2 linked regions of the Tamandua tetradactyla genome follow. The protein of the gene in region 1 purifies or fractionates together with the protein of each later gene. This does not show direct contact. Links are inferred from orthologs where the notes say so. Each region holds a gene or a part of one and is shown in the gene's direction. Other genes may lie near its edges.

Region 1 (8,101 bases):
CCATTCTAGTTCAGTGACAGTGGTTCCCACAGTAATAAAAGACAACTACAGAGCTCTTCAGAGAGATGGAGTTAGTCTCACAAATTAATTCCTCACAGTCCTGGTAAAAGGTGTGTCCTCTGGACATTCCTAGGGTGGGTGAGCAGATCTTCCACGATAAATCCACTCTAACATTCCAATCTCTCTAAGCGTTTGGGTTTCCTTATGTACCTTGTACCAGGGCAGTTCTGGCAATTTGATCGAAAGTAATGTCAGCCACCTTTTGATCCAAGTTTCAGCCAACCACCCAAACAAACTGTTAAAGCCCTTTCTTATCCCTTGAGCTACAACACTGAATCCAGAATCTCTGCTTAGTGGGCCCACATCAATAAATTCAGCCTGATCCAACTTTATATTCCTTCTACCATCATGCCACATCCTTAATATCCATTCCCACAAATATTCCCTGATTTCTGTCTATATAAATTGGAAAACTCACGCAGTTCTTTTGGAGTAGAGTATATCTCCTCATGGGTCACACTTTGTACATCACTTTTGGGGGCTTATTGGGACTTTAATCTAGTTATAGGTCTTGAAGGAAAGAGGGGTAGACGGGGGTGGGTCAAGAAAGGAATTAGAAGTGTCTTTCAAGCCAATTACCTCAGAGTATTCTTTTGCAGTTTCAACTGGTGAAACAAGGATTAATCACTCCAGACAGAGGACTGAGGGCTGTTTCCTTAAGAGTGGTAGTTATGGATTTATCAGGAACTGTATGGTTTATATCTCTCCAGGTGGGGGCTGGATGGCAGATTCCTCAGAGCAGACTGGAAGCTGTTTCCTCAAGGCAGGCTGGCGGTCCAGTGGCTGTCCCCTCAAGGCAGACCACTACAGGTTTTTCTAGCAAAGACTCATCAGAATCTAGGGTTTCAACGTCTCCACTGCCATCATTATCAACCCATATGTCCCCATTCCAATTTTCAGGATCCCATTGATTTCCAATTAATGCCTTTAATTAAACAGCAGACACCCTGCAAAACTGGGAATTTAGTTTACACTAACTCTGCCACTCCCGCAGTGAGATTCTAGGCCTGGTTTTCAGAACTCTCAAATCTGCAGCTACAGGAAATAAGATTTTCTTTCAGGACACACATAGATACTTGCATATCTTTCCTGCAGTGCATGAGTTGCAAATTTGAAAACTTCAGTTCATCACTTTCATTTGTAATTGTATCCAATGTATTTAGGAACAAACAGTCAACATCACGATACCTTTTAACTCCACAAAACTCTGTTAAGGTGTCAAAGACACTTTCATCCAGAGCCTTGCCTCTTCTAAGCACATGCGTAGCCGTATTCAGTGGTGATATTTTGTGTATCTCTATTGTTAATTCATGTCATGGATGGTCAGTGCTTTACTGATTACCGGAAATATAGTCATGAGTGCCTGTGAATCTAAACAGAGTAAAGAACCAATTACAAAGACCCAGAACCAATTTTAAAAGCCCATTTTTTAAATTCTGCTTCTCAATGACTGCCCCACTTCTGGTATCAAAGCTGTATTAATTAAGGGTTCTCTAGGGAACCAGAACCAACAGAGATATCTATAAATATGCAATTTTATATAAGTGTCTTACACAGGCGTGGGGATGCATGGGTCCAAATTCCATAGGGCAGGCTATAAGCTGGTAACCCCAATGAAGGTTTTCGATGAATTCCCCAGGAGAAGCCAGCTGGCTAAAGTGCAGATGAAAATTCTCTCTGCTGACTACTGAAGTTAGCACTTCTCCTTTTAAAGCTTCAACCGGTTGGATAAAATATTTCTCACTGCTGAAGAAATTCTTAGTTGATTGTAAATGTAGTTAGCCATAAATGCAATCAAGTTACTAATGTTTTAAGTCCACAAAATGTCCTCTCTGTAACAAGCCAGTGTTTTCTTGAACAGACAACTGGGTATCATAACCTGGCCAAGGTGACATATAAACCTAAACATTACAAGCCTTAAAACCATGAGCTAATATATTGTATGGTATTTGTAAGAGCAGCTTTGACAAACTAAGACACCAAGCCTCCACAGATTAAAGATGATCATACAATAAGCAGCTGCCTGTTAGAGCAAATATCAACACTCCTTAGAGGAAGATAACAGAATTCAGAGCCTCAACAATGGATCATTCACAATATCCAATATACACAATAACAAATTATTAGACTTACAAAGAAGCATGGTAAAAAAAAAGCAACCAATAAAAAAAGACTCTCTGAGATAACTCAGACAAACGTCATTTAAAGATAAGAACAGTCTTATGAAACTTAATCCCACAAAGGATAGGTCAAGCCTACTCAAAATTAGGCCTAAGAGTCACCCCCAAGAGAACCTCTTTTGTTGCTTAGATGTGGCTTCTCTCTCTATCCAACACAACAAACTCACTGCTCTCCCCCTGTCTACATGGGACATGACTCCCAGAAGTGTGGACCTTCCTGGCAACACAGGACAGAAATCGTAGAATGAGCTGAGACTCAGCATCAAGGGATTGAGAAAATCTTCTCGACCAAAAGGGAGAAGAGCGAAATGAGACAAATAAAGTGTCAATGGCTGAGAGATTCCAAACAGAGTCAAGAGGTTATTCTGGAGGTTATTCTTAAGCATTAAGTAGCTATCACCTTGTTATTCAAGATGTAGTGGAGAGGCTGGAGGGAACTGCCTGAAAACATGGAGTTATGTTGCAGTTGCCATGTTTCTTAAAGATGATTGTATAATGATATAGCTTTCACAATGTGACTGTGTGATTGTGAATACCTTGTGTATGATGCTTCTTTTATCTACCTTATCAACAGACAAGTAAAACATATGGAATAAAAATAAATAATAGGGGGAACAAATGTTAAAATAAACAGATTGAAATGTTAGTGATCAATGAAAGGGAGGGGTAAGGGGTACGGTATGTATAATTTTTTTCTGTTGTCTTTTTGTTTTTCTGATTTGATACAAATGTTCTAAGAAATGATCATGAGGATGAATATGCAATTATGTGATGATATTGTGAATTACTGATTATATACATAGAACAGAATGATTACATGTCAAGAACGTTTTTTTCTTTCTTGTCATATTTTTTTAAAAATTTAAAAATTAATTTAAAAAAATTTTTAAAAAAAGATAAAAACAGTAAAGTAGCTATTATAAATCTGTAAAGGACTTAAAGGAAAACATGGTCATAACTAGGACCTTCCAAGTCTGAGGTACTGTGAATTTTCTTATATTTAAAATTGTTCATGAAGTGGTCTTACGCTAGTCTAAGTTTCCTAAAGACAGTGGGATTTTAGTCAACTCTTCTGTACAGTCCATGAAGTGTTTAACACAATACTTGGCATTATTTATTATTTAATGAGTGAATACTCATTAACTATTTGATGAATCTTAACCAAATTCCAATTCAATCCAACACCGAAAAAACCAATAGGGCAAACAAAATTATCACATAGCAGTGTCTAATGCCTCTCTTTCTCCCACCTCTTACTGCCTTTCTTGCTACTAATTTTTTAAAAGGCAGAGGCTTCCTTTTGGATAATAAATCAGTGTTATTAAAAACTGTACAAATCTAAAAAACATTAAAAATAACTCATACTCCTAGGAACTCCAATGGTTTCTCTACCAGGGCATAATGGGGTTCAATAGGTGTCAGGAGGCCAGTCCACTTTCTCAGTTAAAGAATAAAGTGGTTAAATCTATAAAGGCCCTTTTAAAGCTACCATCTACAAAAATGCATCAAGTGGTAACTGTTCAGGCAGTAACCTCTGTTGAGGCTACAATGCAAAATGGTGATTTAAAAGATAGAACCAAAGATTAATATTAAATGTGTCTGTCATTTTTCTAGGCCTAACATTTCTTGTTATTATCATAAAGAGTCTGTTTTTGTTCATTTGTATGTTATTCTTCTCTCCTAGATTATAAACTCCTAAAAAGAAGAAATTGTCCTTTGTAAGAAGGTGGAATCTAGTTAGAACATTGTTGATACTTGACTGTGGGTACCAACTCAACATAATCGTGGACCAGTTTAGGTAACTTGCAGGCACATGATGAATGAATCCGTGTTTCCCATGAATGCCATCTTTCCTTTGCTAATATGGTGATCGCCTCTCGAAGGGGTGATTAATCTTAAAATCTTTCTACTCTGTCCTCGATTCCCCTATGACCAAAGACTTTGTAGCCATAGGACAACGTAAAACCAATGACTTCCAGTTCATTAGTGGTACATGAACAGCCGGACTAACTAACCCAACGAACCTAATAGTGTGGTTCTGAAATAGGGAGCTCAACAAATTTCCTTTTTGTAAACATCACCTCACCATCAAGCGTGGGGTCAAACATGAAAACCACCAGTGAGAAGGCAATAAGCACTTAGCAACCTTTAGCGGCACAGAGGACAGGAGTGCTGCTCCAGAACTTTCAGGGCTTCAAGGGCGGCATCTTTTTGCACCAGGATTATTTCTCAGAAGCTGCAGCTGCACGGCAAGCACAGTCTTCCCACGTTTTGGGGAGGAGGTTGGTGGTGCTTAGTTCCTCAGACTTCTCTTTCCTTTGGTATCATCTTGGACTTCCAATCACAAACAGCAAGTGATTCTGACCAAGGAAGGGCTGAGTTTTTAAAGCTCCGGGCAGAGGGCCTCAGAGGCTTTCCAAGAGGGAACAAGGCGGAGGCGGCGACCCCTGGCCCAGCGAGGCCAGAGGGACCTGGAGCACACAAGCGCCGCAGGGAGCCGAGCACAGGTCCACTGGCCTTGACTGGAGTTGGGGTGGGGTGGGGGGGCGGTCTCCGAAAGAAGAAAAACGTATTCGTTCGTCAGGCACACATGGTTCGAAAAACTCCAATTCTCAGTTAATTCCTGTGTTCGACAAAAGCACTTGGGAAGCCCCCAAGGTTCCACATCTCGGCTTGCGAGTCTGAGAAAATCTTCCGCGAGGAGTAAAAGCGCCCAGCTGTCTCGCTGCCACCTCCAGGCGGTGCTGTGGCGCCGCTCCTCGGCAGCCGCCTACCCCAACGCCGGAACGCTCAACCGAGCTGTGCGCGTGCGCAGACCGCCCGTTTGGCCGCGGTGCGCAGGCGCTGTGGCCGTTTCCGGGATCTGTCAGCCGCTCCCTCCCGGCCTCGGTCTCCGCCCGCGCGCGCCGGAGCCTGTTCGCGTCGACTGACCAGAGTCCGCGAATTTTCCGCTCCGCGGCCGTCCAGACTACCCCGACCTCAGGTAAAGGGCAGGGGGGCGAGCTTCTGGCGCTGTTGGCCACCTCTGCTCGGTCTGTCCACGGGGATTTAGCCCAGGGGGCGGCGAGGCGGGGACTTGGGCCGCTGGGCCCGGAGGCTGAGGGGCGGGTTGGGTCCCCGTTCCCGGGCCTGCTGAGGGGGCCACGGGGGTTCCCCACTTTTCCGTGGGGTCCTCACAAGAACAGATCGCTTCTCTCAAGAATTTCGAGCGCCAAGCCTCTTCCAGTGAAAGAATTAACAGCTCTTTAACCTGCGCGCCCAGGGCCCTGTTCACACCTCGATTGTGAGCATATATCACAGTCTGTATAAAACTGATAATAAGTGGGATGATCTTCCCCTAATCGAGTGCCATGTCTTTCTCCAAAGTCTAGAATAGGTTCTTACACACAGTGGAGCCCATGGAATGAATGTTTGACTCCTCTCTAGGGCAGACCTCATTCTTCAGTTTTGGGGGAATCCCCGAACTCGAGAAAAATCTTCCCTTTGAGTTCCTTAAAATTCCCCGTCTCCCTCAAATCACAAGTGCACCCGCCTCTGAGATCTTTTATAAGATAACATCTTTCACGTTTCTACCCTATAGTCGATCTCCAATCCTGGCATCGTCGCTGTTTAGGGGGTGACCCTGGGAAGAGGGCTTCTTTGCGTCTCTGTTAGTTCATCTGCAATAGGACAGTCATTACGGTAACCTACAGTCATTACGATAACCGTTTCTTAGGGTTTTTCTGAGGAGCTTATGAGTTTATTTGCATGAATTGCCAAAATAGTTTGCCGCCCAGGGTAGGTGCTCAGTAAATGTAGTAGTATTGCTGCTTCTTTGTGTTGTGTACATGTCCATCTTCCCTTCCTCTCTTGCCTGTCCTCTCTCCCCAGACATAAGAACCAGAAAGGTGTCAGTTTTAATTATGTTTCTGGCCCCATCCCTCTACATATTGCATTGCTGGGGACCTGTAAAGCACTTAATCAATCGTAGCTTAGAATTTTTTATTACAAAGCCATCCGTTCTCACACTGTGGCTTTGGAACGTGACGGACATGCTTAACTTACTTCTACCTCTACTTATTGCCTGAATTACCTAAGTTATCTTCCTTCTGCCCTCCTTTATTAATTTTATCCACCTTTTAGTTTCAGATGAGCCCTAAGTCTTCCCGGTTATCTTAAAAAAAAAAAAAAAAAAAAGGAGAGGATATCAGTCAAGAGGGTATTTTTGACCTTTTAGGAAGTGGGTGTAATTGTTCTGTGGCCTCCTACCACAAAGTTTTTTGAGACCCTCTGAGATTAATCATCTACTAGTCACAATTGAAGGAAGGGATCATCTTGAAAATTTTAAACTCCTGCTTTGGAGGGAGAGTGTCAGTATTTTCATCTTGGTCTAGCTATTTAATCCTATGCTGAAATAAGTTCTGTATCAAGAAGTTTCAGGTGGTCTGCTGGGGAGGCCAATGTCTGGAATTGGAGCCATAAAGGCTGGGAGGGTGTGGTAACCTGGTTGCAGTACCTGGTATTGCTGGATTGGGCAATTAAAGCAGGATGAATCAGTCTTGAAATCTGACCCCAAACAGGTCAACCGAAATTCCCAGTTGTATGAATACATTGAAGCTGCAGAGGAGCAAGGTCAAGAATTTAAAGCATACATAAACTTTTCCAATTCAGCTAACTGGCACATTCTTCTAAGGATGGTTCACAAGCTCTTAGGGTCAAAATGAAAAAAGAGCTAATTTACTGAGCATGTAATTTGGGCTAAGCTCAAAATAGTTGCTTTCGCATGTTATTTCTTTTACTCCTCCTACCAACAGCCTTGTTGTCAGCGATATCTCCATTTTACAGATTAAAACAATTAGATTTAGAGCTATTGAGTAAATTGCCCAGGGTCTCACATCTATTAGGTGTCAAAGCTAGGATTCTAACCCAGCTCCCCTTGGCTTCAGAGCTCATGGGTAACTGTACAATCAGAATGCCTCTGTACTCAAAGTGATGAGTAAAGAAAGGGGATGGGGGAGAATCCTGGAATCATGCTGTGCTGTATATTGTTTTTAATTCTCTCAGTGCTGGACAATGCAAGATAGTCAGTAAAAAACTTGTTATATTTAATGGCACTACTTTTTTGTCTACCCTTTTTTCTCCTCTCTAACCCCATTAAGACATAGGTTTTCAGATTTCACTTAAATATTAATCGCAGTTTAGAAGTTATAATTATCATTTTACTACAGATGGCTTCGTTTTCTTGGTACAAAATTCAGGCTGTTATTAAAAATGCATTTCTCTGCATTCACTGAATTTGGTGGCATACAAGCTGTTTTTACTAAGTTATAAATTTGACAAATATGAATATTGTCTGGCTGACAGACTTAAAATAGCCACATGATTGTAAAAGAAGGGCAGGTCTGAGTATATGTCCAAATATAGAACTTGAATGATATAACAAAATTAGAAATGCAATTTTAGAAGTAACTATGCCATTTAGAAGTAATGTTTGCCTTTTTGGAAGCCTTTGCTACATTGCTTATTAAGCTGAGTTGAAAAATGGAAAAGCTCTTCTTTTTTAACTGCATGAAACATGTTTTTATTGCATGTAGCTATTCATATTAAATTATTAATTCACAGACCAATTTGGTTTCACTTAACAAATGAGCCTATAAAATGTGGCTTTTGAACTAAATTGGTTTTAATTAAGGAGATATTTGTGACACAACATGTAATCTTGAATATCTATGAGTAAAACCTGTTGTGGTAAGCATCTGATATCAGAGATAAAGAATCATGCAGTGAGTAACTGGAAGTTCATTTTTTAAAACAATAAAAGTGGTCTCGTTTGAAATTCATTTGTTTATTTTAACTTTCTGTTAGGTCTTTTTCTTTATGAG
Region 2 (8,006 bases), on another chromosome or scaffold:
CTCTCTCTAAGCTGACACAGCAAGTGAACTCACTGTTCTTCCCCTCTATGTGGGACATGACTTCAGAGGGTGTAAATCTCCCTGGCAACGTGGGACAGAAATCCCGGGATGAGATGGGAACTGACATCAAGGGATCCAGAAAACCTTCCCCAAGAGAGAAATGAGAAAAAAATAAAATATTAGTGGCTGAGAGATTTCAAATAGAGCTGAGAGGTTATTCTGGAGGTTATTCTTATACATTAAATAGATATTCCCTTTTTTATTTTATGGTGTACTGAAGTGGAGAGAGGGAAGTACCTGAAACTGTTGTGCTGTGTTCCAGTAGCCTTGTTTCTTGAAGATGATTGTATAATGATACAGCTTTTACAATGTGACTATGATTGTGAAAATCTGTGTTTGATGCTCCTTTTATCTAGGACATGGACAGATGAATTAAAAATGCACAAATAACAGAGGGAACAACGTTTAAAATAAATTGGCTAGATGGAAATACTAGTAATCAATGAGAGGGAGGGGTAAGGGAAATGGTAAGTACGAATATTTTCTTTTTTCTTTATTTTTCTGGAGTGATGCAAATGTTCAAACAAATGATCATGGTGATGAATACACGACTGTGTGATGATATTGTGAGCTACTGATTGTACACCATGTATGGAATATTTATAAGTTTGTATATTGTTTTATCAATAAAAATATTAAGAAAAGAATTAAAAAAAGAAAATATATATGTTAAAATGATAAAAATGCAAAAGAAAATAAACAAATATCCAATATAGTGTCTTTAGTCCACCTTTCTCATAAATTCATAGGTCTATTTGTAAAAGAAAAGTGTAAATACAGAAGATTTGAATAACACAACACATATATACACAGGTATATATCTGTTTACAGCTATGAGGCTTTGTGCTAAAATCAGGGATTGATTAATCTGGAATTATTAGAAAAATTCTCATTAAAGCAAAAAATAAAATTTAAACTGCTATACTGTAACATTGCACAAGAGACCCTAGACTATGCAATAAGAGAAGACAACACAGTAAGAAAAGCCCATATTGAAAAAAAAATGAACCATTCACTATATAAAGATAGTTGATGGGAAATTAGAAAAATCCAAGCTACTCTACTGAAAAACTGCTAAAACTGATAAGAGCTCACCAAGTTAGCCAAATATCAGGTCAGTATATAAAAAGCAATTGTTTTCTTATAAAATCAACTCTCATTGCATATACATAATGATATATATATATATACATATATAAAAAGATCCCATTGACAACAGTAATAATAGCAACAACAAACAGGTACTGAAATATACCTAAGTGGAAATACGCAACCCTTTAAGGAGAAAATCATGAAACTTTACCCAAAGACTCAGAAAAAGTGGAGGGACAGGCGATCTAAATTAATGGAGCCACACATTTGTTCCTAAAGAAAACATTAAAATACTTAAAGGTGTTGACTATTCTCAAATTATCCTAAAAATTCATTGCAGTCCCAATCAGAATCCTACTAGGATAGTTTTATGCTTTTCTTTGAATTCTTACATGTTGTTTAGATCTTTCAAAATTAGAATATTCAAAAAAAATTAGAATGTACATTAGAAGTGGATAAGGGCTTGACAATCAAGGGGGAAATAGGACTGCAACTACATAATGGAGGCAAAGAAGAGTTTTCCTAGAATACAGGAGATCTTCTAGGGTGTCTCTTAGTACTACCATGCCCTGTGATTACAGTTAATGGAAAACTGCAATAACCCAATCCAGGCAAGAGTACCAATGGCCCAGAAACTTCAGGAATGAAGGTCTGGATCACCCCACTAGGCAAAAAACCATGGCCAGCTTAAGTGCTTGCTGAGGGTAAAGGGAACATGGAATGGGTAGGAGAAGAAGGTAGTGATAAATATGAACTACAACCATGTGACCAGTTACAGAACCAAGGACTGTGATTGTATGAATATTTATCCCTGTTTTGAGTATGTTTGCATTTGCGCATGAGCAAGTATCTTATTTTCCTCTTATGATATGACATAAGTTGTATTGCTCATGTTATAGTATTTAAGTCATAGAATATGAAGTTTAAGAGTGAATTTTACCTAAGGAGTTGCACCTTACTCTGGAGACATGTAGTACATTTCTGGTTGTATGGAGGACAGTTGAGTATTGTTAGGCAAAACATTTGTCTGTTATTGTGTTCTATTTGGAAATTAAATGGGTTTCAATGTGATGTGTATAGCTGCCAGGTTGACATAGGGTGAACTGTTATGGTTAGGTTCTCGTGTCAACCTGGCTAAACGTCCATACCCACTTGTCTGGTTAGGCAACAGACTGTTGCCACAAGGATATTTCATGGGTGGTTGATAAACCAGAAGGCTGGTATATTAAATCATCAGTCAGTTGATTGCATCTGTGCCTGATTACATCTGTGATCAACTACAGTCTCCCACAATGAGTTAATCCAATCAGTTGAAGGCTTTTAAGGAAGAAGAGAAACTCTTTCACTGCTTCTTCTGCCAGCTAGCCTTTCCTGTGGAGTTTGTCCAGACCCTTCATCAGAGCCACCAGCTTCACAGCCTGCCCTGTAGATTTTGGACTCTTCCATTCCCATGGTTGTGTGAGACACCTTTATAAAGCTCATATTTACAGATCTCACCTGTTGGTTTGATTTCTCTAGAGAACTCTTATTAACATACACACAGTACATTTTAGTATTTTTAAATGTTAATTCTGGGATTAATTCTCTGAGGCGTCTGGTTTTTTTTTTAAAAGTTGTAAACCAACTGGTGATATGAGAGATTTTTTTGAGCATTAGCTCTTCTATTATGAAGGTTTGCCCAAGTTGAATGCAAATTGAAGGGTCCTCCCTGTCTTTTCTGGGCACATGTCCTGTTCTGGGCTTGTGCTTGCTAGTGGCTTAGAGGTTCTCATGTTTACAGGAGTTTCAGTGTCTCTCTACTTTCCAGGAGACAGATTTTCTCCTTCTTAGGTGTTCCACCATGGAACTCAAGCCTTTGCCTCATGCTGTTTTGGTCAATGGTTTCTTATACTCCTTTCCAAGTGTGTCTCAAGCTGCTTTTGCCTGGAGGGCAAATTCTGGGAGAGTAAGGTGCACAGTACAGGAGCTGTTTTTCTCAGCTGCAGAGACCCACAAAGGGAGAGCTAGCTGACTTCGAATTGTCCTGGAGAAGTATGATGAGGAGCCAGGAGCTTTTTCCATGGCTCCCCAGAGGTGTGCTTTCTTGAGCTGCCCAGTAAATGTAGCCCTTTAACCTCTTCCACAGCTCTGAGCAATCATCCTGTTTGTCTCCCTGACAGTCTTTGTTTGAGGTTGATTGGAAAGACGGCTGCCCCTTAGTGATCCAAAGCTGTTCAACAAAAGCAGTGATCAGCAATTGGCCCATGTCCACCCTGGATCATGAGGTAGAATTTTTATGTCCTTTTCCGGCACCAGCAAGCCATGGCTGGGGCTAGATCCCATTCTTGCCAGCCAAAAGAGCAGGACTATAACCACTGTGGGAGAGGGGAATTTACTGGTATTTTCTGTAACTCGCCAGTGTCTTCCTCCTGCTCTTCCCTAGATGTGATATAGTGTTCTATAGTTGATACACTGTTCCTGCCTGTATAATAGTTGTTCTGGTGGAGGGACTGATTCCTGGAGCTTCCTATTCTGCCATCTTCCCACAATCAAATATTTACTTAGCTTTTAGAAGCCATTTCCTCAGAGAAGACGTCCCTATTTTCCACTTTCCCTCAATCTCTCATCCTTTCCCCCATTTCTCACAATCTCTGGCTTCCTTTCTATTGCTGTTAACACTTTTTTGGGGGGTGGGGGGCATTCCATAACTGTAAAGTTGATGAGAGCAGAGACTGTTCTTTGCCTATTGAATATTCGGGATCAGCACATTCCACTATAGGGTAGGTGAGCAATAATTACCTGTGAAATGAATGATTGAAAAACCCGCATTTCATGCCCCAGGTCCACCTAACACCAGACGATGTGATCTTCTGGGGCCTCATTTAAGGAAATCCAGGATAGTTTATCAAGATAAACTTGGTGGAGGGAAAAGTTATCATGAAACTTCTAGGTTCCAAAATCTGCACATCAGACCTGGGAACTTGATAGAAACGCAAATTCTCAAGCCCACTCCAAACTAACTAATCAGCAAACTCTGAGGGTGTCGACCAGCAAGCGTGGTCCCTCCAGGTGATTCTGATGAATACAGTTTAAGAACCACTGATTCAGGCTTTCCAGTTTTTCACTTTTATTTTAAAAATTTTTGGTTTTTAATCCCTAATATTATTCTGCAAGTAGAATCTTACTACTCCATATTAAATCCTTTCCCATCGTTCCTTCACAAAGGTCTATCATTGTAGAGTATATTACATAGAACAAATTCTTGGGATGGTTGCCGTCTTTGCAGCCACAGGCCTGCCCTCTGGATAGTCTACAATCTAAAGCCCTATAACAATGTAGAAGTGTAACTGAATAAAAGCTCCGAACAAAGGCAGAGTAACAGCCATGGTGCAAGCCTTTGTTGCTCAGTTTCCTGATTGCTCTACCTTTCTGAAATCCCTTCTCTTCACACGGAAATGCAGCCACTCAAATCCTAAGAATAGTTGTGTGCCGCTGACAACGTTTTCAATTAGGCGATTTTCCCCTGAGCACTGGCGAAGACATTCGGGATTGCGGGATGCACCTCCACATCTTCCCAAATCCAGCACAGGAATTACTGAAACTAAATGGAAGGGTGGAACCGAAAAGCCCCTTCAAGCTTCAGAAGGAGAACTGGTGGCTCGGCACACTTCCTCTACTCTCTTGGAAAACCCGTAGTGGCACTCGCTAGCGTCAGGACGGGAGCCGCGGCCGGTGGCCGGTTGCCCACTGCGCATGCTCCGTCGCCCCGCCCGCTCGGAGCAGGAAGAGGGAGCGCTCGCGGCCTGGTCCTGGCCTGGCCCGGGCGTCGGCACCGGCGGCCATCTTGGTTTCCCGGGGAAAGGCGGTGTGAGGGGTAGAAGTTGTAGGGTGGGGGCAGGAGTGAGGGGGAGGGAAAAGAAAGGGGGAGGAGGCCGCGGCGGGACAGGGCGGGGACTGCCTGCTTGGGTTGCGGAAGTGGTAGCCGCTGACCGAGACTGCCGCCTTCTCGCTACTGCTCTGGCTTCCCAGTTCCACCCGGACGGAGAGGGCAGCCCGGCTGTGAATGGTCAGATAGCCCCCATCTCGCGCCGCCAATCCCCGGCCCCAACCAGCACGGAGCAGACGCCGGCAGTGGCAGCAGCAGGCGAGGAGGAAGATGGCGGGACGGCTGCCGGCCTGTGTGGTGGACTGTGGCACTGGGTAAGGGGGCTGAGAAAGGAGGGAACGAAGGGGCTTGACGACCGGGGGTGGGGAAACTGAGGCGGAGGAAGGAAAAATGGCGGGGGAGGGAGGAGGCCGGAGACTGGGAGATGAATGGTGCGGGGAGGTGCCGCTGCCGGCTGTGTCAGTCGCTGCTCCTTGGGTGGCGAGGGGTGGGGCTCGGAGCCAGGGGGCCTCCCTCACCCGGTCGCTTCACCCTCCTGGGATCTCAGCGGGGGTTCGGGGCTGCTGAATCCCCGGGGAGCGTCTTCCTTCGCGCGACCCGCTCCTACCCCTTTTCCCACCTCGCGGACGCTGCTGGCGGGCGGTGGTGGAGGTGGTCGCCTAGCCTGGCCCTCCCGGGGTTCCTTTGCCTCCGCGCCCCACCCTGCCTGTGGGCGCCGGGACGGAGGGGACAGAGCACGGGGACCCGCTTGGAGGGAGAAGAGAGAAGCGTCCCTTGGAGGTTTTGCAAGATCGCTGAGACAACGCTGCCCCGGGTGTGGGTGGGGATAGGGAAGGATCGGACTCTTAAAATGGGAACCTAGAACGGGGCTTTCATTAGACTACCCACCTCCCCTTCCTTTTCGACTCCCGGTCTTTTCCATCTCCCTTTGCGTCTTTACGGGTGAACCAAGTCACATTTTAATTTGAGGGAGAAAGATGTCATGTGTTACTTCTGCTTCAAAAAAGTCCCTCAGTGAGCAAGCGCGCTACAACTTCCTTAGTTTTGTCAAAGCCTCTTCCTGCTTTCAGTCTTTTATACCCTTATAAGGTAGTTTTTCGTTTCCAACCTGAGCATATTTTATCAGATCTTTGAAAATTAAGCAGGTTTTGAATGGACTGAATTACCGGTGCTAGGTGTTAATTTATGTGAACTTAAAAAAATGTATGTTCCACTGGGGAAGAGGTAAGGGGGACACCAAGGAAAATAAACCATTAAGTTGTATGCTTTCTGTGGTGGTGACTTGAGAAAAAAGGTATAGAGGTTATTACAAAACCGTTGTGCTTAATTTTCAAGGAGTTGATTATGATAAATTTGTAGTTCCCTTTGTATTTTAAAGCGTTCTAGCACAATGTATAGTTAGTTATGTAGAGAATAGACTTTATATTTTTAAAATGTAGACTTTTATGTTAAATATTGAACTATCTTTTTTATTTGTGATGCTGTATTATTACACCTCTTTATTTCTGAAAACAGGCTACATTTTAGGGGATAGGGAGGTATTAAAAGGGAGGATTACCAGCCTTCTGCCCCCCCCCCCCCGTTTATTATTCAGCATATCATTAAAAGTATTGGTGGGCCACTCTTACTTGCTATTATATGAAATTTCATCTGTTTTCAAGCTCATAACTTAATGCTAGTGTGGTAATTTCCAAAGATCCAGCAGCACACAGGGAAACAACTGACATCTTAATATTTTCGCTTGGAAACATCACCTAGTTTAGCGATGGCACTTCTCTGTATTTGTTTGATGGGCAGTTTATTAATGTTAACTTCTTCTTAAGGCAGACTTATTTTCCTGATGAGCATTTTTTTTTCCTCCCTACTTAGCCTAAATTGTGAGTAAGTAGTTTTATGTTTAGGGTCAGTTTTAAAATAAGATTTGGCTTGACAGAGTAGGTTTCTTTTCAGGTGTGTTTTGTTAAAGTGAAAAACACTGCCTCATAATTAATATGTGATGATTTAGGAATAACTGGCGTATCAATAAAAATAATGATTATATCACTGTTGAATAGCATGCCAACATCTTAAGTAATAAATTACTTTTTCTTTCTCCATCTCCACTTTTGAAATACAGTTTTTGTTATCTTTGAAGTAGTATAGTAGGTTAACTGACCTTACGAGACCTCATTTCTGAAAGGGCCATCTTAAATTTAAACAAATGCTGAATAATTAGGAATGGGTTTAGACTATACCTAGCTTATTTCTATTCCACTATAGTACATTTGTCACTGCTCTTCTTTCGGTCACTAGACAAGGAGAGGTAGCTAACTGGACACTCATGATTTGAATGGAACTGATTAGGAGTCCCACTGTCCCTTCATTATCTTTTACCATCTGCTACAGTAAAAAATTCCGCCCTAAGAAATTAATTTCTTTTGGTTCCCACAAGGCATTCTTGGTCTTTCCAGTTGCCTGTTGAATCCAGTTCCTGGAAAGTTACACCTTTGGCTTCATTAATGTATTGAAGATAGCTAGTTGAGATTATGATAAGCATCTCTAAGTAAGGCCTTAACAGGGATTTTTATGTTCCAGAATACTGTGGTCCCCAAATACAAACTGTATTTAATTATCTGTGTGTTCCTTTATGCTTTAGAGAAGGCATTCACCTCTTGAGTCACTAATTACAATTAACCACTTAATGTAAATGAAAAATTATAACCTGAGTCAAGTTGCTCATTCCATTTCATTATATAATTTAGGCAAAAATTGGCAGAAAAATTATTATGAAACTTGTTAGTCTTAGGATAAGAAAAGCTGTGTGATTTAGGAAACATGATTATCAAAACAAAATTAGGGATCCTCCAGCAAAACTCAACATAAGTAAAAGAATTACGTAGGCTCATCATAAAAGAAAATACTTATTTTGAAAAGTATTCAGAAAGAAGTACTCCCTTCACGTTGATACACATTTTCTTTTGGCTTGTACTGGAAAAGCAATATAGAAAAT

The links. The genes of interacting proteins can lie anywhere in the genome.
Region 2: the proteins of ARPC1A (region 1) and ACTR3 purify together in Homo sapiens (affinity purification with mass spectrometry; 7 studies listed by BioGRID and IntAct, counting the BioPlex papers as one, with this or other methods). This does not show direct contact. The link is inferred for Tamandua tetradactyla from reciprocal best matches to the Homo sapiens genes ARPC1A and ACTR3.

The regions. Positions count from the first base shown.
Region 1 is NC_135349.1:7,367,107-7,375,207, forward strand, and holds the start of ARPC1A (actin-related protein 2/3 complex subunit 1A), read left to right. Parts: upstream 1-5,086; 5' UTR 5,087-5,223; intron 5,224-8,101. UniProt on the Homo sapiens protein: Probably functions as a component of the Arp2/3 complex which is involved in regulation of actin polymerization and together with an activating nucleation-promoting factor (NPF) mediates the formation of branched actin networks.
Region 2 is NC_135329.1:101,095,930-101,103,935, reverse strand, and holds the start of ACTR3 (actin-related protein 3), read left to right. Parts: upstream 1-4,908; 5' UTR 4,909-5,005; intron 5,006-5,160; 5' UTR 5,161-5,287; coding exon 5,288-5,331; intron 5,332-8,006. UniProt on the Homo sapiens protein: ATP-binding component of the Arp2/3 complex, a multiprotein complex that mediates actin polymerization upon stimulation by nucleation-promoting factor (NPF).